5 linked regions of the Mus musculus genome follow. The protein of the gene in region 5 interacts with the protein of the main gene of each other region in a biochemical or structural test. Links are inferred from orthologs where the notes say so. Each region holds a gene or a part of one and is shown on either strand. Other genes may lie near its edges.

Region 1 (5,032 bases), on a different chromosome or scaffold from region 5:
CACCATGTGGTTGCTGGGAATTGAACTCAGGACCTCTGGTGAAGCAGTCAGTGCTCTTGACCACTGAGCCATCTCTCCAGCCCTGAATACTTTTAAATATCCAGTTTTATGCATTTATACATACAATGTATCTTTTGACTTTCATTTCGGCTGGTGATTTCCATGCCCCAGTCTCCCTTGTCATTTTCTTTCCCCCTTGTTGGAAGCCTTCTTAACAAGTCCCCTTCCTCCTTTTCCGTCTTCTCAGTATCCCTCTGAGTTTAACTAGTTTCTATTTAAATGTTTTGTTTGGTTTTGGTGTTTTTAAATTTTTACTTTTATGTGTATCAGTGTATGATCTACATGCATGTCTATGTGACAGTGTCAAATTTTGGAGTTACAGTTGTGAGCTGCCATGTGGGTGCTGGATTTGAACCCCTGTTGTCTAGGAAGAGCAGTTCGTGCCCCTAACCACTAAGCTATTTCTTAGTTCTAGCTTCTTGACCCAGCTGGAACAAGGACAATTTAATCACTGAATAAAGGACACCCCCTTCCCTAAAGGTCTACCCACTGCAATAAGAAGCTTCTTTGGCCAGGTATGGTGGGTGGCGCACGCCTTTAACCCCAGCACTTGGGAGGCAGAGGCACGTGGATTTCTGAGTTTGAGGCCAGCCTGGTCTACAGAGTGAGTTCCAGGACAGCCAGGGCTACACAGAGAAACCCTGTCTCAAAAAACAAAAACAAAACAAAACAAAACAAAAGATTCTCTGAAGAAGGATGGACACAACCCTTGACTGTGGAGATATATTATATATATTTAGTTGTGTGCCAGAAGAGGGCATCAGGTCCCATTAAAAATGGTTGTGAGCCACCGTATGGTTGCTGGGAATTGAACTGAGGACTTCTGGAAGAGCAGCCAGGGCTCTTAACTATTGAGCTGCCTCTTCAGCTTCCAGGGTCTTACTCTATAACACAGGTTGGCCTCAATCCTTCTGCTTCAACCTCTGTCCAGATGGTATATTCTTCCCAGATGGTATACTTTTGTTGTTGTTGTTGTTGTTTTTTGTTTGTTTGTTTTTTGAGACAGGGTTTCTCTGTGTAGCCCTGGCTGTCCTGGAATTCACTTTGTAGACCAGGCTGGCCTCGAACTCAGAAATCTGCCTGCCTCTGCCTCCCAAGTGCTGGGATTAAAGGCGTGCACCACCATGCCCAGTTTACTTTTTTTTTCAGATTTATTTATTTATTATATGTAAGTACACTGTAGCTGTCTTCAGACACACCAGAAGAAGGAGTCAGATCTTGTTACGGATGGTTGTGAGCCACCTTGTGGTTGCTGGGATTTGAACTCAGGACCTTCAGAAGTGCAGTCGTGCTCTGACCTGCTGAGCCATCTCACCAGCCCCCAGATGGTATATTCTTATCTGTACCATTCTCAGTGTTAAGCCAAATTGTACCATAGTCTCTCTTTAGACTCCACTTTCTAAGATTTTTTTCAGCCAGCTAAACAAAACAAATAAACAAACAAAACCTACTGACTGTTGTGGGTATCCCTGCCTTGTCCCAATGTGCTTTCCTGAAGAGGTCCTGGGGAAAGACCTTTCCCACACTTCCACCAGGGGCTGAGCCTGGCAGATAGACCTCCACCTACTTACTATTCTTACTGTCCTCCAAGACATGGCTGTTCTGTCCAAAGCAGGGTCAGCCTCTCTCATTGAATCTACAAAGAGCCTGGAAGACTGAATCTGAGAGAGTGATCAGTGAAGGGCAGTGAAGAGAAGCTGGGGGGTGGGGGGGGAACAGGAGGGAAGGATTTGCAATTGAGTGCTACAAACTAGTGACACCCTAGTGACGTCTGGAGCCCTTAAGCCACACCCTGCCTGGGCTCTGCCCCGCCTCTGCCCGAAGTACTATAAAAGCACTGGCACCCTCCTTTTCACTGAGATAAAACCCGTCCCGGCGGCTCCGGTACCAGGTATGTGGGACTCTTGGGCCACTCGGGGAGGGAGGTGAGCTAGTGCCACAGGGGAAATTCTTGTCCCCTCTACAGAGTAGTGAGTGATCAGTGAAGGGCAGTGAAGAGAAGCTCGGGGGAAACAGGAGGGCAGACGTCCCGGCAGGATTTGCAATTGGGTCTGCAGGGATTGGGATCTGAGTAAGGGTCGGGTGTAGTTTGAGGACTGCACTGGTAGGCATGGAGACAGTGGAGACAGCGGGAAGCCAGCAGCTACCGGGCGCTGTTTAGACTGTTTAGGTTTCATTTTCCTGAGATGCAGTTTCGTTTTACTCGTCTGGGCCCGCCCCTTTTGTGTCTTCGCAGGGTCCAGCCTGTGACAGCCCATCCAGGCTCGGACGCTGGATTAACACCTGTGACATCACGTGTGCGCTCCCGCTACATCTGTAGTCACATCTACAGCCACCTTGGCAGAGGAATCTACACTGAGTTCTGAACCTAGGTGACCACAAGTTCTCAAACCTCATCTGTGACCCTCAACACCCTAATACCTGGGTCACACTTGTGAAACTGAAATTCCTACCTGTTACCAACACTTGTAACGTTTAAAACACATTTGTGAAACTTGGTCACACTATCTGTGGCTACAACCTAAAACCATAGAGGCACCCAAGGGGCCTTATTTGCAATAGCTGACTGCTCCAGTGACTACAAGGCATCACAGAGTAGTAGCATCTACTTTGATTCTCCCAGACTGCCTGTGTAGACGGAGCAATGGCTGAAGTGAGGTGAGAACATGTCTACCCTGGTTGTATTGGGTCCTGTGTCCCTTACATTAGCCCTAACCCCAGCGTGGCTGCTCTGCCTGCAGGGGGGTCCAGCGAGTGCTGTTTGGAGACTGGCTATTGGGGGAGGTCAGCAGCGGCCAGTACGAGGGGCTGCAGTGGCTGAACGAGGCTCGCACAGTCTTCCGCGTACCCTGGAAGCATTTCGGTCGTAGGGATCTGGATGAAGAAGATGCACAGATCTTCAAGGTGGTACCCAGTCCTGCCCTCTTTATAATCTGCCAGAACTCCTGGGGGAATCCAGCCTCAACCCATGCTCTCTCCTCTCCTTCAGGCCTGGGCTGTGGCCCGAGGGAGGTGGCCACCTAGTGGAGTTAACCTGCCACCCCCAGAGGCTGAGGCTGCTGAGCGAAGAGAGCGAAGAGGCTGGAAGACCAACTTCCGCTGTGCACTCCACAGCACAGGGCGTTTTATCTTGCGCCAAGACAATTCAGGGGATCCAGTTGATCCGCATAAGGTGTACGAACTTAGCCGGGAGCTTGGATCTACTGGTGAGCAGTGCCACAAACAGGGATGGGCCAGGGAGGTACATGGCCTCTGTCATTTTGGTGGTTTCAATGGTTTGATTTGTGGTTTTTGAAACTAGTTGTAGATTCAGTTCCTCTCCTTCCAAAGTGTGTGTGTGTCGGGGTGGAGGGGGAGTGCACACTTCCTGCTAAGTCAGAGCCTTGGGCTGAGTGAGGTACCTGGTGGTTTGGGAACAGAGGGTATGAGAAATAGAGAACTTTTGGAACTGCTTGGGCATCGTAACCAAATCTCCCCTCCCCACTCCTCTCCCTCAGTGGGCCCAGCCACGGAAAATAGGGAAGAAGTGAGCCTCAGCAATGCTCTGCCCACACAGGTACATCTGGTCCATCCTTCCTAGGTGTGGGGGATCGGCAGGTGCCTACCACTATGCTGTCTATTACAGGGTGTGTCCCCAGGATCATTTCTGGCAAGAGAAAATGCTGGGCTCCAAACCCCAAGCCCTCTGCTTTCTAGTGATGCCGGGGACCTCTTGCTTCAGGTTCTGCAGTACAGCCACATACTGGAATCCGAGTCTGGGGCAGACCCCGTCCCACCACAGGCTCCTGGTGAGAGGCAGTTACTGTTACAGAGCTGGGGCTAAGCTAGAGAACACCCATCTGCCCAAGGCTGTATGAGAGGGAGGACAACAGAGTCCTTGCTGGGAGGAGGAAAGATAAGGATGTTAAAATGACAGGGGTGGGAAGCTGGGCTAAGATGGACAGGCAGCTCCAATTTGCCCTCAGGCCAGGAGCAAGACCGTGTTTACGAGGAACCCTATGCAGCATGGCAGGTGGAAGCTGTCCCCAGTCCCAGGCCTCAACAGCCAGCTCTCACCGGTGAGGATCTAGAGCGGAGGCGCTAGCACAGCTTTTCCTAGCCTCCCGGGCAGAATTCTGCCCTACTGCTCCTTCACACCTGCATCTCAGTAGGAGGTGAATGGGTCCTTGGCAGGGGGCATGGGACAAAATGCTCCACCCAAACCTACCACTCACAGCATGGTCTATACACAGAGCGCAGCCTTGGGTTCCTGGATGTGACCATCATGTACAAGGGCCGCACAGTGCTACAGGCAGTGGTGGGGCACCCCAGATGCGTGTTCCTGTACAGCCCCATGGCCCCAGCAGTAAGAACTTCAGAGCCCCAGCCGGTGATCTTTCCCAGTCCTGCTGAGCTCCCAGATCAGAAGCAGCTGCACTACACAGAGACGCTTCTCCAGCATGTGTCTCCCGGCCTTCAGCTGGAGCTTCGAGGACCGTCACTGTGGGCCCTGCGTATGGGCAAGTGCAAGGTGTACTGGGAGGTAGGCAGCCCTATGGGCACTACCGGCCCCTCCACCCCACCCCAGCTGCTGGAGCGCAACCGCCACACCCCCATCTTCGACTTCAGCACTTTCTTCCGAGGTCAGTAAGGTGTCTGGCTGGGGTGCTGTCCTCTGGGGCCTGGAGCCTTTCTTAACCTGCTCACCAGAGCTATCTCCTTAACAGAACTGGAGGAGTTTCGGGCTCGGAGGCGGCAAGGGTCACCACACTACACCATCTACCTGGGTTTTGGGCAAGACTTGTCAGCAGGGAGGCCCAAGGAGAAGACCCTGATCCTGGTGAAGGTAGAGCCTGGGTGGGCCAAGGGAAGGTGTGGGCTGCTAGGTAAGAAAGAGTCTTAACACATGTCCTTTCCACAGCTGGAGCCATGGGTATGCAAGGCATACCTGGAGGGCGTGCAGCGTGAGGGTGTGTCCTCCCTGGACAGCAGC
Region 2 (4,428 bases), about 430 kb from region 5:
AATTTTGATGGGGATTGCATTGAATCTGTAGATTGCTCATAGTGTTTTAGTTTGGTTTCTGTTGCTGTGATAGAGACCATGACTTATAGCAACTGGGGAGGAAAGGGATTATTTTAGCTTATAATTTATAATCCATGACAGAGGCAGAGCAGGCACCTGGAGGCAGAACGTGAAGTATAGTCAAAAGGGGAATGCTGCTTTCTGGCTTGTCCAGCTTGCTTGCTTGCTTATACAACCTAGGCCCACCTGCCCAGGGGTGGCACCACCTACCATAGGTTGGGCCATCCCACAGCAATTATTAATTGAAGATATGCCTTACAAACTTGCCACAGCTTCTGCTCTCCATGGTGGTTGTCCCATGTTACTGGCATCCAATATGCTAGGGTTTCCACTGCAGCTGAGGGTGCACCTTCTCCTGACCTCTGAAATAGTGCCAAGCCCTTTCTTTAGCTGCTTTCCATGATGCCTTCATATTACTTGGTCCCCTCTCCTGTGTGCTGATCCTGAGGAGATACTCTCTAGATTTTAAAAGATTTCACCTCAGTGATACTGTTTTCTTCTTAATCACAGCTAATTTCTCAGCTTCAGTTAACCAGCATTAGTTGTCCTCCCTCGTAAAGCAAAGGTTTTACTTGAGTTCTGCTGATCTCTTGTTCATCGCACCTGATTCTTCAGCCTCAGCTGACTTCAACTGCAGATTCTTAATTCAAAATACCACACAAATGACGCTGATAGAATCTTTGCTTCCCTCTGAAACTTCATTTGCTTTGGTGTCAGCATTCTTATCTTCCTTGGCTCCCACAGAGCAGCCCGTTAAGCTCTAACCACTTGATGGATAGGAACTTGAGATAGGAACTGAAGTCAAAACCTTGGAAGAACGACTTTTTGGCTTGCTTGCTTTTGCAACCTAAGTGATTGCTTGAGGTGTGGCACTGTCTCTAGGGAACTAGGTCTTCTCTTATCAATGAAGAAAATGCCCCAAAGGCTTGCCTATAGGCCAGTCTAATATACTCAGTTGAGTAAATATCAGATGACTTTGATCAGATGAATCCAGCTTTTGTCAAAATGACAAACAACAACAACAAAAACCTAACCAGTGCAAATGTATCTATCTAAAAACTCAAAATATGACTTTATTTGGTTTAGTATCTTTATATATGTAACTAGTTAATATAAGGTCACATTAGGTTAATTAGTTGACTGTGGTACTTACAGAAGCACCAAATTAAGATAATAGAAGGCTGCCACAAGAAGGCTAAGGCAGACTCTGAGATTCAGCTACAAGCCAAGAAATGCCAAACACTTTGTAAACCACTGGCAGCTAGGGGGTGGGCATGGTAATTCTGCCCAGTCCTCTGACACGTTTATTTGGGGCACTTAGTCATCTGTATCATGCACGTTTTTGTTATTCTAAGTTACTAAGTATGTGGTAGTTTGTAACAAGGTTCTGAGGAAACTAATATAGGGGAACCCAAGGAATAATTCCTAATAAGTACAAAGTTTCCTTTGGGGGATGATAAAATATTCTAAAATTAGGCTGATGATTGGATATGCTGAATAGAGTAAAACCCTCTAACAATACGGTTTAAATTGGGGACTTATATAGTACATGAATTATATCTAAATGAATGTATTTATTCATAAAAAACCCTATAAGCATTGATTGAATGCTTTCTGTTTTCAAAAGGATTGAGGATATGAGGAAGCGGCATGTAGAGACTCCCCAGCCTCCTTTACTCCCTGCTCCAGGTAAGTGAACAAGTGGTAGATGATGGGAGGAGATGCTTAGGGAGGGGAAACATGTGTTGGTTTCTCTGCTGCTCTGCTTTGGGGAGTTCTTGCTGACCTCTCCTGTCAGTAGCCCACATCACTCTGAGGTCAAAGGAAAAATGTGCTGGTGGAGGTGGCTCCCAGCAATGTAGTCAAATATGGTGGTATCAGTAAGTCTCAGCACCTTGTTAGCCCCCCTTTCCATTTGAGGCCTACCTAGGCTGTGCATGAAGTACTTACATAGTTCATCACACTCCTGTGTTCTTTTTTCTCAGCTCACCACTCCTTTCATTTGGCCTTGTCCAACCAGCGGAGGAGCCCTCCTGAAGAACCTCCTGACTTCTGTTGTCCGAAGTGCCAGTATCAGGCTCCTGATATGGACACTCTACAGATACATGTCATGGAGTGCATAGAGTAGGAGCAGCAGATGCAAGGCCACTTGCAGTACTATGTCCTGATCTGTGTGACTTGTGCTTTCCTGTTTTACCTGCATAGTCCACACTTAAGGGCTTGCTTTAGCCCTTTGGTCCCCCATTTAGGGTAGACAGCCCCATTCAGGGCTTTTTTTTTTCTGTGTGCCTGATCCAGTTTGCCTCTGGTGGCTTCTTCCCTCTTCTCCCATAGTCCTAGGGAGTCTAGAATGGAGGCCAGGGGCTCTTAGGGAGCATCCCTTCTCCAAGCAGGTCTGGGTACAGCTTTTCTTCTCTCCAACTGGTACCTTTCTTGCCGGTGAACTGCAGGCTCTCCTCCCAGGGCATGTGGCACTTGGGTCTATAACATGTGTTACCTCTGGTAGACATGTGGAAAGTATTCTGTCCTTTTGTTACTGTAATTAATGGTGTAGTGAAAGTACTTGTACACTGATCTGTGTGTACCTTTAGGACAGATGCTTAGATGTGACATTGGATCCTTGCCCTGGAGGAGGTGGGCAGACCTTTGGATTTTTGCCATCTCTAAGATATACCATTCTTTACTAAAGAATTTGCTTAAGTGTCTTTTTCTGGGGCATGTGGGCCCTTTTTAATTCCTCTGATGTAACTTGGATTTTCATAATTCCTACCCATTTTTCTGTTGGGACATTGCCATTTGTTCTTGGGCTTTGTAGAGCTTTTTGATTATCAGTCAGGTTGGTTTTGACTATTACAGAAGTGCACCCCTTGTTCCACATTGATTGTTAGTGTTTTGGGGCCTAGAAGCTGTTTTATACTCCTACTTACCCATTCTTTACTCCTAGTTTTTTGACTTTGGAATTATGACTGCTTTGTCAACAGAAAGGTATTTCACATGTATGCTTTCCTTTTTCTAGCCCCAGTGTGCTCTTGTTTTTGCCAAGCACATTGTTACCTTCTGTGAATGGTGGTGGCCATAGTTCATCACACTCCTGGAGTTTGTGATCACATGTTCTTCACCAGCCAAAATGTCCTAGGGAACCATTTAGCAGTGACTGACTGATCACAGAAAAGGGAACACTTCACTTGTTTTGCAAGGTTCTAGACATTTTGTGGGACCTTACCGTCATTGGTATTAGACCTGCAGTTCTAGTAAAGGAAAGGAAGTTGTAGTTGAGAAAGCAATAAATATGCCTTGCTCATTCCTTAGGTCTAAATCCTTCCTGCCCTCCTGTAAGCTTTCATGGTTCTGAGTGGTATCTGTGAATCCATCCCGGGGGCTTTTATTTACATGGTTTCTTTCCCATTAAGAGTGAGAAGGCTAAGTAGAATTCAGATTATAAAAAAGGATTTAAAAAGTAATCCTGAGCTGGGGGCTTTCTCGGAATTTTCAGGGGATGCAGAGTAAGTTTTCCATTTCCTAATTCCCAGGTATCTATCAGAAAGATCTTTAGGAAAATGTTAAAGGAACAAACAAGTTCTTTGCTTATGTGTTTTCATTTAAATACCTAATCTATAATTTTCCTTTAGGAATACTATTGGTTTAGGTTGAGTCCAGTTTTGTGGTGGTATATATCACTTTTCTATAGCTGCTTTAAAATTTTTCCTAAACTTGGAAGAGCAAGAACAACAACAACAACAACAACAACAACAAATCACTCTTTCCTGTCTGGAAGCCACATATTAAGTTTTTTCTGGAGGCTGTGAGAATCAATTCCAGGCATTCTCTTAACTTTCAGTGGTTTGTGGTAGTCCTTGGTGTTGCTTGGCTCATAGACCCATCACTCCAGTTTCTGGTTCTAGGGCCTTGTGGTTTCTTCCTCTCTTCTGTCTCATAAGGAAACCATGTTGTGCATGTGGGGTCTATTTGATTAGATTAAGGAGGATCTCCAGTTCAAGACCCTTAACTCATTCCACCTACCAAGATCCTTTCCCCAAATAAAGTCTTGTTCTCACATTATGGGGGTTTGGGCTTATATAACCCGGAGTATGGATATCATCAGAACCTGAGTAAATGCAGCCCAAAGGCAGGGCCTTTAAAGCCTTGTAATTCTGCTAGAGAGACCTGGTCTCTAGGGTGATGACCAGTAGTCTTCAGAGTTTGAAGGCAGACCCTTGTCAGTGCTTGATGCTGTTAGTAGGGTCAGTGGGAATGATTGGGAAAGGCAGGTTGGCTATAGTAGGAGAGAGCTGTTGGGCTGCCTGCAGTGGCTGCATGAGCTTCACGCTTCTTGGATAAACAGAGATGCATAGGTGCATTTCTGACCAG
Region 3 (4,428 bases), on a different chromosome or scaffold from region 5:
TAGTTCCAGTAATGCAAAGTTTTTGCTTTAGTAGTTTTGGTATCTTGTTAATCACAGATGATTCTTCAGGCCCAGCTAACCAGAACCACAGAATCTTCACAATCCAAAATAGCAATGGCCCTGAAAAAGTCTTTAATTTTCCCTCTGACATTTCAAAAGCCAGGCCTCCATCTTCTGCACTGTTTTCAACATTATCTTCCAATCTCCTACACAATGTCTGACAGAGCACTTAACACCGAATGGATCTTCTAGCCCAAAGTTCCAAAGTCCTTCCAGAGTCATCCCCAAAACATGGTCAGGTTGTCACAGGAATACCCTACTATGCTGGTACCAATTTGTTTTAGTCATGGTTTCTATTCCTGCACAAACATCATGACCAAGAAGCAAGTTGGGGAGGAAAGGGTTTATTCGGCTTATACTTCCATACTGCTGTTTATCACCAAGGAAGTCAGGACTGGAATTCAAGCAGGGCCTTTCCCCCTTGATCACTAATTGAGAAAATGCCTTACAGTTGGATCTCATGGAGGTATTTCCTCAACTGAAGCTCCTTTTTCTGTGATAACTCCAGCTGTGTCAAGTTGACACAAAACTAGCCAGTACATAGTAGCTCTGCCCAGACGTGTGCTGAAAACCAAATCCCTACTACTGATGTCAATAGTTAGAAAATTATCTGTAATTTTTGTTGCTCAGAGAGGAAGGTAGGAGGTAGTGCCCCCTCCCGCCACCCCCCCCCCAGGGGTCCGAGGGAGAGACTACCCTCTGCACTCTGCAGAGGAGGACATGGGGGCACAGAGTAGCTAAATGTTTACCAGGAGTTTAGGTCCCTCGGTCCCTTCCCCCTCTTCTTTATTTTCTTTTTATTTCATGTGTACGTATGAGTGCCTGTATGCATATATGTGCACCATGGGTGAGCCTAGTGCTCTTGGAGGCCAGAAGAGATATCAGATTCCCTAGAACTGGAGTCCCAGGCAGTTATGAGCCACCTAATGAGGGTGCTGGGAACCCGAGTCCTCTGCAAGAGCAGCAAGTGCTCTTAACTTCAGAGCCCATCTTTAAACCACACTGTAATGACATTTAAATGAGGTTAAAAAAATCAATACATATTTTAAACATACAGCATGAAAGCATAATATTTAATCTAGTCATAGCAAAGTCACCAACAACAGATTTTTAACTTTTTTAAAGAAAAAAAAACAATAATGTTATAGTACCTGAAACATATCAGTGTTGCTGTCATGAGTATATTCAACCACCACCGTCTGGGCTCGAGATAAAGTATATGATATGCTATGCTGGTCCTTGTTGCTTATTGCCTATGAATGAAAGGGTTAACAGCAAATATTAGCAGTCATTAAATCAGAAAAATATCTTCATTAAAGAAGGTAAAATGTTCTCTCTGTCTCACACACACACACACACACGCTGGAATTTTGGGTACAGGCAAGAAACTCTATATAACTTCAATTGTGGTTTCCTCAGGTTGAGGGAATATTTTTTAATAGTCATGGAACAAAAACATAAATTTAAGCTTCTTAAGAATCTGTGTTTCTCTTAAAAGCACTTTAAATTCTAAGGGAATTAATATCAAATACCACATGGAAACTAAAACCAACATCCATCTCTGATAAGGAAAAAATTCAAAATCTTGCAAGAAAAAAATTTTTTTAAAGTGACATAAAAATTTATATATACAGTTAAGCTAGAATTATGAGTTCATTTTTCTAATCCTACAGATGACAAGTTTTATCATATTCCAGATCAGATACAGAAAAATCTACAGGATGATTAAACATTACAAGAAGAAATAGATGTATTTCTGATGGCCATATTTTTGACTTATCCTAAGCTGAACTGCTCTCCTAAAAGAAGTGCTCAGCTTCGTTTTCATATGTTAATGAGTTGAAGATAATATCAGAAGGGGAAAACCTAGTTATTGCACAAAGAAGGTTTTATAAGAGGAAAACAGATAAAAAGATACAAGAGTAACTACACATAGTAAAAAGGGGAAATGTTTGTTTTTGCTTTTTAGGTAATCTGTAAAATAGGTAAGGCCTTTTGAAATTCTAATATTAAAAAATTATTTTTCAGCCGGACATGGTGGCGCATTCGCTGCATACACATACATGCATGTGCACACACAAAATGAGAAAGTATTTTAGAGGTAGATTATAAACATCTCCTTGCCAGTGGTCCTCAACCAGAGACCAGATTAAACACCTAAGAGGCATTTGAAAATACTTAAATGCGTTTGACTGTAACAATAATGGCAGTGATTAAATGACTTTTAGTACACGGGACCCAAGAATTTCAGTATCTTGTAATGCATGGGACAGTTCTGCACAATGAAGATGTGGTACATTCCAGATGCGCAAATACTACAGAGCAGCCCAGACTGAGCTGCAGCGTCTACTGAACACACGCCTTCTCTACAAAGGAACAGGAGGAAACAGGTTAGAAGACCAGCCCTTCTACAGACTCTTCGGCTCTCAAACAGTAATCAACGAGCAGCCAAATCAAGGCTTGATATCTAACTTTGATATAAAACAAGGCTGAAATCTAATCAACTTCAATTTACCAGTTCTAATGCAGCTCATTTATTTAACCTAACAAGGACCTAACATAGATGATGTAATGCTTATGTACAACTTCTAGAAGTCAAGGAACTCTGTAATTGTTCTTATCTGGACCCCACATTACTGAATTAATTCAGTCTGTGCTATAAACTGGAAAGAGAAATTCCAAGGCAAAATGAGGACTGAAAACTTCCTCTACTTTTACACTGACTACTTTTAAACTTACGGTTACATTTCCTCACCTGGCCTCTAAAACTTGGTGAGGAAATGAAGTGGGCTGGGAGGGCTGACAAGGCCTCGAGGGTGAGAAGTTACACTGTGGGCACTGCTGAAAATGTGCTCCCATTGCACATGGAGGTGGGGCAAAACATAAGCATGTCATATGCCAAGAAGAAAATAAACCCAGAGAACTCAGACAGCCTTAGAGAATCAAGATATTTTCTTTTGATTTCTACCTGCCTCTGGTCTGTCATTTTTAATGCGGAATTCCATATGGCAGCTTTTCAAATACCATCAATTCAAAACAGAAATGTGAAGCACTGCAGACCACACATAAAAATATTTCAACTTTCCAAGTTAACTTCTTTACAACTTTATCTTACCTTGGCAGCCTGAGGAGTACATGCAATGTGCACGGTGCTAGGCTTCACCCCATTTGCCTTAGGTCTTTTAAACAAAGCAAACCTACTTTTCCTCCTTCCTCTATCACCGTTTGGGAGAGATCCATTATATCTGATAAGAAAGGAAAAAAAAAGTTTAGCTGGTCTCTTGTAAGGATCACACTACTATGAAGCAAAGTTATTGTTTGCCTCCACGTACATTCAATCCTTGATGACCGCAGATTCCTTCTAGCAACTGCTCATCTCCAGAACAGCTGCATGGGTCTGAATCAAAATGAGGATCTGTCTGGCTATGTTTTGAACCACATAGAAGTATTGTACACAGCTTTAAGTTATCTATATAAGCAAGAACTGAGTAACAGAAATATTGTGATATATTTTAAGGTATATTTTTTTGCAGCAGTAATTGAAACAGATTCTCCTTTAATTGTGAACCCAACACCATAATGCTCAACTTCTGAAACAAGCAGTGTCTGGCCTTGTAAAGTCCTAACTACCTGAATAGAGCACTGGTGTGTTGTCAGCTCCTATCCAACTGAGTTTTATTCCAACTATGTTACATCTACATCTGCTGCTTCACTCTTCCAATCATTTCTCTAGAGCACATGTTAATCTCATGGCAAGCAAGTAAGACATATAAAACAAGTGCGGAAAAGTGAAAACAAACTTAAACATCTGGGCATGTATCACACACCCAGGAAGCACTGAACTCTACGTCAATTAACCCTACACTCAAAAGCAAAAACAAACAAAACCTGCTAGGTTAAACAGGCATACAGCAATTAGTTTTCTCAAGTCCCAGAATGACACTGGCAAACCAGAATATGAATCCATGTATGACTGCTACATATGACATAAGCTGAGTCACCTGGGAGGAGGGTGTCTCAGGGAAGAACTGCCTCCATCAGACTGACTGTGTAGAGGCATTTGAGGGAAATGGAGTATAGTCTGTTGTGGGTGTTCAGAAGACAGTATGAGCGGCATTAATTATTGATTATTGATACAGCAGGGTCCAGCCCAGTACAGGTGGTACTACCCATGGGCAAGTGGTCCTAGGTTATGTAAGAAAGCAAGCTGAGCAAGCCAGTAAGTAGCATTCCTCCACAGTCTCTGCTACAGTTCCTGCTTTGAGCTCCTTCCCTGGCTTCCTGTGATAATGGACTATAAAGTATAAGTGGAACAAACCCTTTCTGCCACAAGTCAGTTTGGCCAGTATATGACTACAGCAATAGAAA
Region 4 (4,428 bases), on a different chromosome or scaffold from region 5:
AGGACAACTTGAAAGAATCAGTTCTCAGGTCAAAAGATTGACCTCAGGCTAGTTGGTAGCACGTTTATGCACTGAACATCTCACTGGCCTCTGCATTTCCCATGTTTATGGTCTTAATCTAGTCCCCATCCCGAACTTTATCTATGTCCTTATAATGAATAGGTCAATCATGAACATCTCCGGTTCAGGCTTCTCTCTTGACCCCCAGCAATGAATGGGACAGAGAATTTTATATTTCTTTTTTTTTTTTAAGATTTATTTATTCTAGACACTGTAGCTGTCTTCAGACACTCCAGAAGAGGGCATCAGATCTCATTACAGATGGTTGTGAACCACCATGTGGTTGCTGGGATTTGAACTCTGGACCTTCGGAAGAGCAGTCGGTGCTCTTACTCACTGAGCCATCTCACCAGCCCGAATTTTATATTTCTGGTTTATGTAATACTTAACTTTTTGATTTGCCATTTAAAAAAATTTGAATCCCATGAGAATATTCATAAATATCTTCCAATGTATATATATTACATACATGATTTTAACATTACATTTCCAGCAGACCATGGACGTCTTTGCTTTATGGTGGACATTGGTAACAGACTCACATACTACAGTTTACTCAGATTAGTGTTCACACTAAGACTTTGGCTGTCATTTCGAAGTCCTATTTTAATTGTCCGTTTGTATCTGTGTGTGTCTTTATGTGGGCATGTGCACAAGTGTGCAGGTGCCTGGGGAGGTCACGGGTTTCCGCCCCTGGAGCTGGGGTGACAGGCAGTGGCATGACACCTAACATGTGTGCTGGGAACTAAACTGTGGCCTCGGGGAAAACCCTGTGGGCTCCTGGCGGCTGAGCCATCTCTTCAGCTCTGGTGCCAAGACTGAACAAGGAAGTCAAACCTTCTGATGGTCTACCCTAATTCTGGGACACGATCTAGTATATATATCTACTGTCTGAATTGTTCATACTCTTCTGCTCTATTAGGGCCTGTGAATAAATTAGAATAAAAGGAATACAGTTGTTAATTTTGAGAAACATTTATATATGATATGTATCTTTAGATATTTTTAAAGACATATATAATGTGACATAGCATAATTTATCTGTAGTTTACTTACCATTTAACTCATCTACTTACAAATTATCAATCGAATGTTCAGTGTACAAATTAGAAGTGGGAAATGGTAGTGCAGGAGGGGAGTGTTTTAACTCTGCGAGTCAAACTCTCCACAGTGAAATAAAGAGCTTCTACTGGCATTTATATTCATATGCAGATACAAACAGAAGCTATGTTTTTTTTCCCCCTCTCATGACTTAAAGGTAGTCTCACCACCCAGGGCCCATACACTACAGATTGTAATAAACTGGAAAGCAATAAACTACAGCTTTCGTCTCCCTTTGCCCACAAAGACACTGGGACAAAGACTGCATGAATGACCTTTTTAGGCTTCACAAATGCAGCCCAGCAAACCCAAGGTTGGAAATACAGCACGCGCTGTCAGTGTGTCAGTTCACGGAGCCAGTATTCTGTCAGAAAATGCCATTCCTGTGTGCCGGAGTTACCCACGTGCATCTAAGACCATAAAGGCAGGAGAGGAGCAGGCAGGAAAAAAGGACTTACTAACCAGTAGTTGAGGTTCACGGTTTTCATCCACAGCCGCCAGCCCGGTTATCAGCTCCAACAGAACCTAGGAAGGCAAAGGGACCCATTAGCAAAACACTGGAGACATCAGCAGAGATTAAAGGGCATGTGGACTGAGTCCAGGGACTTAAACCTGCTAAGCTAGGCTTTCTTGGGCTAACCAGTGGCCTGGAGCACTGATATTGATGGGATATGAGGACCAAAGAAACTCTACTCAACATCTGTTCTGGGATCTCTGTGCTCTATGCTTTTTTTTTTTTTTTTTTTTTTTCGAGACAGGGTTTCTCTGTGTAGCCCTGGCTGTCCTGGAACTCACTTTATAGACCAGGCTGGCCTCGAACTCAGAAATCTGCCTGCCTCTGCCTGCTGAGAGCTGGGATTAAAGGCATGCGCCACCATGCCCGGCATGCTCTATGTCTTACAGGGCCCTGGGGAGAATCATATTTTCTAACCAGTAGCCACATTCTACAACCCCATGCCTTAATATTAGGTGGGGTAAAGTTCCCACAAATGAAATCTATTTGGAGAACAAAGATGAAGACAAAGCCTCATTAATCTTACCCCACATTCTTTGCCTCTGGTTGTTAGATGATAAAATGACAGAAAAGGGAAGAGAAAAGAGATCCACGTTAGGTGACGTGATTGAGTTTGTGCGCGGGCTCAGCTTAAGGTTCGTTTGGATTCACGATGAGACAGTATTTTCTTGCAGTCATTAAAAAAGAAATCAACTCAAACATTTTACATATTGGGAATCACTCATAAACCTTCTGGTGTCACCAGAGGCTAGTGTGAATAGTTTATATATTTATATAGTGTTGTGTCTGGCCAGTAGATCACAACCTGGGTTCTAGCCTGGAAAGGCATTTTGGAAACCTGGAAGAGAAGAGGGGCTGGGCTGCGCGAGATAAGGAAGGAACCAAGACAAAGCTCTCTGCTCAAGGTTCAATTTTTACTATTTCGGCACTCCGTTATAAAGGAAGGGGGAGGGGCCCAATTCCCGCCAAATAATCTTGGAGTCCAGTAGCAGGGTGATCACGGGATGGCTTCGGACCAGCAAAGCGGCAGGTTCCAGCAGTGGGCGTGGCAGAAAGATTGAGCGGGAAGCTCCACCCCTGAGCAAGCAGGTTTCAGGCTGGGGGAGGGGAGACTACATCATAGGAGAGGAAAAAAAGACTCATGCACCAAAATATTCTAATTTAAATCACAGTTTAAAAAGAATGATCATTGGTTGGCAGGATGGCTTAGCAAAGTAAAGGCTCCTGCCACCAAGCCTGGCGACCTGCATCTGACCTCTGGAACCAACATGGTGGAAGGAGAGAACTGGCTCCCGAAAGCTACCCTCCCTCCGGCTCTTGGCATGCATATGCCGTGGCATGTGCACGTACACACACACTATAAAATACGCGCAAAACAATAAAGACAGCGATCACGTACCACGCCGAAGCTGTAGATGTCAGATTTGGGTGTTATTTCTCCCCGCAAAGCTTCGGGTGCCATGTAAGCCGTTGTGCCCACGATTCGGCTGGTCATGACCGTCTGCGCTAGCCTTGCCGAAGCCCGTGCAAGCCCAAAGTCAGATATTTTGGCAGTAAAGTCTTTGTCTAGTAAGATATTTGCACTGGAAAACAAATTAAATTTGAAGGTGGAAAACATGCTTCTTGCCTAGGATATCCAACAGGTTCTTAGGAAGAGGTATATAATGTGATATATATATATATATATCATGCATTCTACATACTATATATTATATATTATATACGCACATGTCACATTGTGTGTCATTTTATATGTGCAGTAGAGAAGACTGAAATATATTCAAATCAGTCAATTATTCAGATGACAGCAAGAGAAAAATAATTGTTCTCCTTTCTTATCTTGGGAGATGTTGAAGGGAATAAAGACATAATAAAATTTCCTCTTAAGGGAGGTGCATTTTCAGCATGACACTGATAGCTATTTACTAGTAACAACACACAAAGCCTTCCGAGTGGCACTTTCTCTTAAAAAAAATTTTTTTTTTAGTGGGTCCGGTGACCAAGTACCCCACAGTTCACTGAAGCTAGGCAGTGGCTTTTCTACTGAGAGATATTCCTAAGTCAAAAGCACCCACTGGGGTATATGGACGTCTTATGCAGTACACCGTGGTGGTCCAGTCTGGCCCACAGTGTGTAAGAGTCCCATGGGACTTGGAACATGTCAGCCTCTACATGTCACCGGCCGTTTGTATGTGCTGGGAGTCTGTGTTCTCACAGCTACACAGGCCGTCTGAGCCTATAGTTCTACTGAGCTGAGGAGGATGCAGAAGCCATGGCTCGGCCTTGTTTAATGATGTCTCTGTCTCCTCTCCTGACCTCCTTGCCTTGTATCCAACACTCTTGTATTCCCAAGTTCCCTGAGACAGGTTTCTAGAAATAAGTGGGAACATGTGATATTTGTCTTTCTGTGTCAGGGTGAGATGAGTCTCAGGTAATTTCTTAACTCCTCTCCTAACATTTCTCCGTACGTTTAGGAACAAAATTCGAACCAAACCACTGCAATCTTTCTCCTGTCCTTCCTTCAAAATCCCTGGGATGTGTACACACACACACACACACACATACACACACACACATTTATATATTTCCTAAATGACATATCTGCTTCAAGTGTCACAATATCACGAAATACCATAAGACGTCTGTTTACATTCCCCTCCCAGCTTTCTTCCTTCCACTCTCTCCTTCGTACAACCCTGCTTCTAACTCAGTTCCTGACTGGAAATGGTTCTCCATAAGTCACCACTGACCTG
Region 5 (5,074 bases):
TGGCCATATGACTTTCTATAGCTCTTCTGAGCCCCTCCTCACCTCTTGATGTCTCCATGGATAAGGCTGGGGCTATCCTGATGTAAAAACTGAATAGCCCGGGCTGTGCCCAGAAGAATGTCCAGTCGTTGAGGCCAGGAAAGTGGGGAGCAGGCCTGGGTCTGGAGTGACAAAGACAGAAGCACAGAGGCAGCTCAGGGCAGCTGTTCTTTGACCCCCCCCCCCCAAATTCCCCTCACCTGTCACTGTGCGGCTTGGGGCAAGCTTTATTCTGAGCCTCTGGAGAATGAGGAGTAAGACTGTCTATGACCTAATTCACGAGCAAGTGGTAGCTAAAGCTATACCGAAGGTTTTGGCAAGCACTCTACAGCTGGGATACCAGCTAGGAACATTTCACAGGACTCAAGACAAAATGTGATGGGCTCAGCTCTACCTAACAGAAAGTGCTGGTGCCCTTCTCCCTCTCCTCTCTCAAAACAGTTTGAGAAGGAAGCTCTTATCCTGTATATGTGGTGGCTTGTGAGTATGACATTCAGGCATGGCTCAAGCTTGGGTTCAGTCTGACAGCCTGTCTCCACTGGTCCTCATTCCTCAAGAGCTATATGTGGACTAAATACTAAATCCTTTAGCTACTCTGCTTGCAAAGCCAATAACTCCCAATAGAGGAACAGTGGGGAGAGGACAGAGGAAAGAATTGTATGGAAAATCTTGGGCCAAGCTGAGTGTAATGTAACTCTAGCATAGAGCAGGCTGACGCAGAAGAATTGCCAGCTTGAGGCTAGCCTGAGCTGGGTAGTGAGGTATTGTCTCAAACAATCAAGCCAGTAAAAAGGAAGAAAGAAAACCCTGGGCCAAATCTTGAGTTTGAGGGGGAGCCAGAAGCCCAAGTCCTGCCTGACACAGGCTAAGGGGCTATGCCAATAAAGGTGCCAGATCAGCAAGGACTACCTGAAGGTGGAGCTGATCCTCCAAGGAGCCATTGGGCAAGAAGCCATAAACAAGGCAGTATAAGCCACTCTCTGCACAGTAGCCAGCAAAGTCTACGATATTTGGGTGACGAAACCTGTTATAAAGAGTGGAGTCTGAGTTCTTTAATTTTCTGGGTTCTACTACTTTTCATCAGGCCAGGCTAGGTAGGCAGCACTTGATGTTCCCTCACCCATGCCAGGCCAGGCCTTGAGGGCCCAAGGGAGCCAGATCTTGTGTTGTGCAGTCCTAAAGACTGATGAGGCCGTGGTGTGGCTCACCTTGTGCCCCTAGACAGGAGGGACCCCCAAGGCTCACCTTGATAGCTGTTCCACCTCTGTTAAGAAGCTCTGTTTCACCATAGTCCACTCTAGGTCAGCTTCCTGTAGCCCCAGGCATGGTGGGGTAAGAGGTAGGGAAAGTAGGTGACATGAGCCAAGCTTGCCAGTTGTTTCCAGGCCCAAATCTATGGAAGGCTTGGGGTCCTTGAAGGAATTGCTTGGGGAGGCTGGAGACTGCAGAAGTGAGGGGCTGATGGAGGGAGGAACTAGACAAATAAGGACTGATAGATTGTCTTCCAGGTGTCTACCCCAATGTTACACCTACCTCCTTCAGTCTCTTCACAGCATATGTAGTATTTCTCATGACTGCTCGGTACACACATCCAAAACCACCCTCTCCAATCCTGAGTTCTTCAGAGAAGTTGCAGGTGCCTTGGGAAATCTCACAGAAGGGCCAGCAAAACGGGGAGGGATGGGCTCTTTGGAGGCCAGACACTGGGCTCTCTGGGCTTGACTGCTGGAAGAGACCATGGACCAGGCGAGGACCCTATCTATTCCCTTTGGTCCAGGTTGAAAGCTCCCTTCAACACTAGTTGTCTCTCAGATGACCTGGCTGTGCTGATTTGGGCTCTGTGGTACACCAAAGGTTAAGTTTCTTCCTCTTTGTCTGGAAAATTCCCTGGGGGTTAAGAGACACCTACCTTGGTGGAGGAAGGGGCTGAAGATGGTAGTGGTGGCCCGAGGGAAACAGGGAGTGGAACCTGGAGGAGCTCTGACTCAGAATGGGTCTGGGAGCCTGGAAAAGCTTCATAAAGATGGCAGTGAGAGGCAGAGACCAGCAGCAGTCTACAGCCATGTCAGCAGTCATGGTGGCCTTTTCCTCAGGCATATCAAGCCCAACACCCGGGTTCTTTTTACCTGGGGAGAGGAAGGTGGAGGCAGAGGACTGCAATTTCCGGGGGCTCCAGTCCCCGGCCTCAGAGCCTGCAGAGATGCTGCTGGGCCTTGGGGCAGCGGTGCTTGGGGGCACAACGGGGGCAGGAGGGTGCCCTGGGATAACAAGGAAGGAAAGGAGGGTTGTGACTCAGAGCTCTCTATCTCTAAGTGAAGGGGTGGGGGGGGGGGAGTTCCCATATGGTTCCCTGTCTCAGGAAACTCTGTACCCGTCACCCCTCTTGGGTTCCCATCCCTAGGGTCCCTGGGGCTATGCTCGCTCACAGGCTGTGATGATGTCCCTCGCACGCAGCAGCTGCAGGTGCGTGAGGATGTGAACGAGGTCAGCTACGCGCGCGTTGCGGTTGATCCAGGGCCACAGAACACTGGCTGTGCGCTGCTCGGAGCGCTCGCACAGCCGCAGCTCTGTCTGGTCGCGCACGATCAAGGCCGCTGCGGGATGGGGAACATCAGGCTTCAGCTCCAGAAGCCTGAGTCCACCACCCCACGCCGGCCTGCCGTCACCCACCGAACTGGCACCAGTCGGCGGGCTCCAGGGCGTCCATCACTTTGTAGAAGCGGCACATAACCCAGGGTGGCACCTCGTACAAGAAGTGCTGGGCGCCTGGAACCACAGGCTCCCCGGGGCCCGGCCCCCCGGCCATGGCCGCCGCCGCCGCCCCCGGGCCGAGGCCTCTCGGGGCCTCGGCGGGCGCGGGCCTTAGCGGGCCGGGTCCGCGGACACTGACTCACTTCCCCTTCAGGCCGGCCTCGTGCGACACCCGGCCGGGCGGAAGAGGCGGCGCTCGACCCGCCGCCATCTTGCCCTCCGCGGCCTTCCGCCACACGGGGGCGTCCCGCGCCGCCCTTGACGCGGGGAAGGAGCTCTGCTACGTAGGAGGGAGTCCCTAATGGGAGAACCGAGGTCTGTGGTCCTACACAAACATCTGAATAGGGCTGAACAGGATGAAGAATGACTTCCAGTTCTAGAGACAAAGGGCACGATGTTTTTACACGATGTTCTACAAAGGCAGTTTATGCCAAGCCTGGTGAAAGTCACGGAGAGGCTACCCTCGCTTTAGTTGGGGAGCAGTTTGAGAGCCAGCCAAATTGTTGGTCAGTCAGGGTTAAATATGGGTAACAAAATGGCCCTCTGGCAGACTGTAGTCATTTGGTGATAAGGATGGATGCCCTGAGAATGGTCTGGAAGAGTGTATACCATGCTACTGCTTGTGTGCTAGATCTCCATGCCCCCACCACGCCCCCAGGAACCTTCCAGCAGCTGGGCCAGCAAGTGTTAGATCACAGAATCTGCCTGTGCAGGATTCTAATTAGCTTTCCAACTAACACATTTATGTCTCTTAACATACACATGGTGTTCGGCTCTAAATGTCCCTTTCCTTTTTCTGTCACACTTTTATCTTAGTTTGCACTTCTCTCCATAAGGATAGTAGGGTCTAGCAGCTTCTCCTACCCCTTTCTAGAGTAGTTGTTGGTGATACCACCTGTTGTGACCTTTAGCCACATGAATGAGTGTCTCTTGCCTATTCCTCTACTGTTCTCCATTCAGGGTTTTCTTTGGCCTTTTTGGTCACTATGACACACATCTCAGCGCACACTACTTTCTCATTATGCTCTCTGAAGTCCTCTTCATATGAGTGCACTACTCTTAGCATTAGCCATTGCCACTCACCTGCACAGACTGTATGGCTTGGATAGTGCTCCCTGCTCAGGTGGTCTTCCTCAAGTACAAATCACTAAAGCCCAGCTCTTTAAAAGAGCTGTTAGGAAGATGGCATAGCCAGCCTCTGTCCACCCACCTGAACTTATATACACCAACAGCCTTAAGCCAGATAGAACTCTTTAGATGTTGGGCTTGGTGGTACACCCCTTTAATTCCTGCACCCAGAAAACAAAGGCAAGTGAATCTCTGTGAATTTGAGGTTAGCATGGTTTAAGTTCCAGGTCAGCCAGGGATACAAAGTGCAACCCTACCTCAGATCAAGACCAAACCTGAAAAAAACAAACAAACAAAAAACAAAACAAACAAAAAACCCAAACCCTGTTTAGTAGGTGTCCTGAAAAGAACTTATTCTGTTCTGAAATTGAGTTTGCATATACACCCCTGCTGTAGCCATTCCTGATAAGATTGAACATAAACAGCTGTGGGGAAAACTTCCTAAACCCAGCTCCTCTCTTGAACACACCTTGAGCTTGCTGGAGTTCTGTACCTCTAAACTTTTCTCACTTCTCACTGCCCAGGGATGATCCACAGGCAGCAACTTGGTATTCCTTGTTTGGCCAGCTGAAAGCATGCTTGTAAAGCGGCAGCTTTCTTCTCCTGACCAGTTTCCCCAACAAACACTTTTTGTCATATCAATCCTAACTACAAAGGGTTCTCTCTCACTAGCCTGACCTCTAAGGAACTTATAGTATGTCTTCAGAAAGGTCTACACAAGATCCATGGCTGGCTCCCACTGGGGCCTCTTCTTTGAAGCCACAGTAATTGTGGCCACTCTCAAGATGAGGTCAAACTAGATGTGGTGGTGCATACCTGTAATCCCAGAACTCTAGAATCAGAGGTAGGAAGATAACTAAAATTTCAAGGGCAGCTTGGTTTACAATGCATAGTTCCAGGTCAGCCAGAGCTACACAGTGAGACCTTATTATAAAACAAAGCTTGGCATGGTGGCTCATATCTGTAATTCCAGCACTTGGGAGGCTGAGGCAGATCACCCTACATACTCAGTTCCAGGCCAGCCTAGAGTAGAAGTTGGACCCTGACTAAAACCAAAACAACCCAAGAGGTTAACCATATGCTGAGCTTCCAGTGGTTTCTCATGGGTCAGTCTATATTAAGATGTGCCAACTCCATTATCCAAAATTATCATGTG

Evidence for each region.
Region 1: the proteins of Irak1 (region 5) and Irf7 form a complex in vitro, tested with the Homo sapiens proteins (2 studies listed by BioGRID, with this or other methods). The link is inferred for Mus musculus from reciprocal best matches to the Homo sapiens genes IRAK1 and IRF7.
Region 2: the proteins of Irak1 (region 5) and Ikbkg form a complex in vitro, tested with the Homo sapiens proteins (3 studies listed by BioGRID). The link is inferred for Mus musculus from reciprocal best matches to the Homo sapiens genes IRAK1 and IKBKG.
Region 3: of the proteins of Irak1 (region 5) and Peli1, one has a biochemical effect on the other in vitro, tested with the Homo sapiens proteins (5 studies listed by BioGRID and IntAct, with this or other methods). The link is inferred for Mus musculus from reciprocal best matches to the Homo sapiens genes IRAK1 and PELI1.
Region 4: of the proteins of Irak1 (region 5) and Irak4, one has a biochemical effect on the other in vitro, tested with the Homo sapiens proteins (2 studies listed by BioGRID). The link is inferred for Mus musculus from reciprocal best matches to the Homo sapiens genes IRAK1 and IRAK4.

Annotation. Positions count from the first base shown.
Region 1 is NC_000073.6:141,263,309-141,268,340, reverse strand, and holds the start of Irf7 (interferon regulatory factor 7), read left to right. Parts: upstream 1-1,916; 5' UTR 1,917-1,951; intron 1,952-2,296; 5' UTR 2,297-2,704; coding exon 2,705-2,718; intron 2,719-2,801; coding exon 2,802-2,964; intron 2,965-3,049; coding exon 3,050-3,266; intron 3,267-3,557; coding exon 3,558-3,616; intron 3,617-3,685; coding exon 3,686-3,848; intron 3,849-4,025; coding exon 4,026-4,118; intron 4,119-4,292; coding exon 4,293-4,682; intron 4,683-4,766; coding exon 4,767-4,885; intron 4,886-4,960; coding exon 4,961-5,032.
Region 2 is NC_000086.7:74,446,172-74,450,599, forward strand, and holds part of Ikbkg (NF-kappa-B essential modulator), read left to right. Parts: intron 1-1,687; coding exon 1,688-1,749; intron 1,750-2,045; coding exon 2,046-2,188; 3' UTR 2,189-4,428. UniProt on the Homo sapiens protein: Regulatory subunit of the IKK core complex which phosphorylates inhibitors of NF-kappa-B thus leading to the dissociation of the inhibitor/NF-kappa-B complex and ultimately the degradation of the inhibitor.
Region 3 is NC_000077.6:21,139,441-21,143,868, reverse strand, and holds part of Peli1 (E3 ubiquitin-protein ligase pellino homolog 1), read right to left. Parts: intron 3,306-4,428; coding exon 3,176-3,305; intron 1,314-3,175; coding exon 1,212-1,313; intron 1-1,211. UniProt on the Homo sapiens protein: E3 ubiquitin ligase catalyzing the covalent attachment of ubiquitin moieties onto substrate proteins. Involved in the TLR and IL-1 signaling pathways via interaction with the complex containing IRAK kinases and TRAF6.
Region 4 is NC_000081.6:94,560,276-94,564,703, reverse strand, and holds part of Irak4 (interleukin-1 receptor-associated kinase 4), read right to left. Parts: intron 3,259-4,428; coding exon 3,075-3,258; intron 1,687-3,074; coding exon 1,624-1,686; intron 1-1,623.
Region 5 is NC_000086.7:74,020,901-74,025,974, forward strand, and holds the start of Irak1 (interleukin-1 receptor-associated kinase 1), read right to left. Parts: upstream 3,022-5,074; 5' UTR 2,846-3,021; coding exon 2,710-2,845; intron 2,699-2,709; exon of another isoform or gene 2,634-2,698; coding exon 2,466-2,633; intron 2,298-2,465; coding exon 2,166-2,297; intron 2,053-2,165; coding exon 1,949-2,052; intron 1,765-1,948; coding exon 1,573-1,764; intron 1,350-1,572; coding exon 1,285-1,349; intron 1,064-1,284; coding exon 949-1,063; intron 162-948; coding exon 43-161; intron 1-42.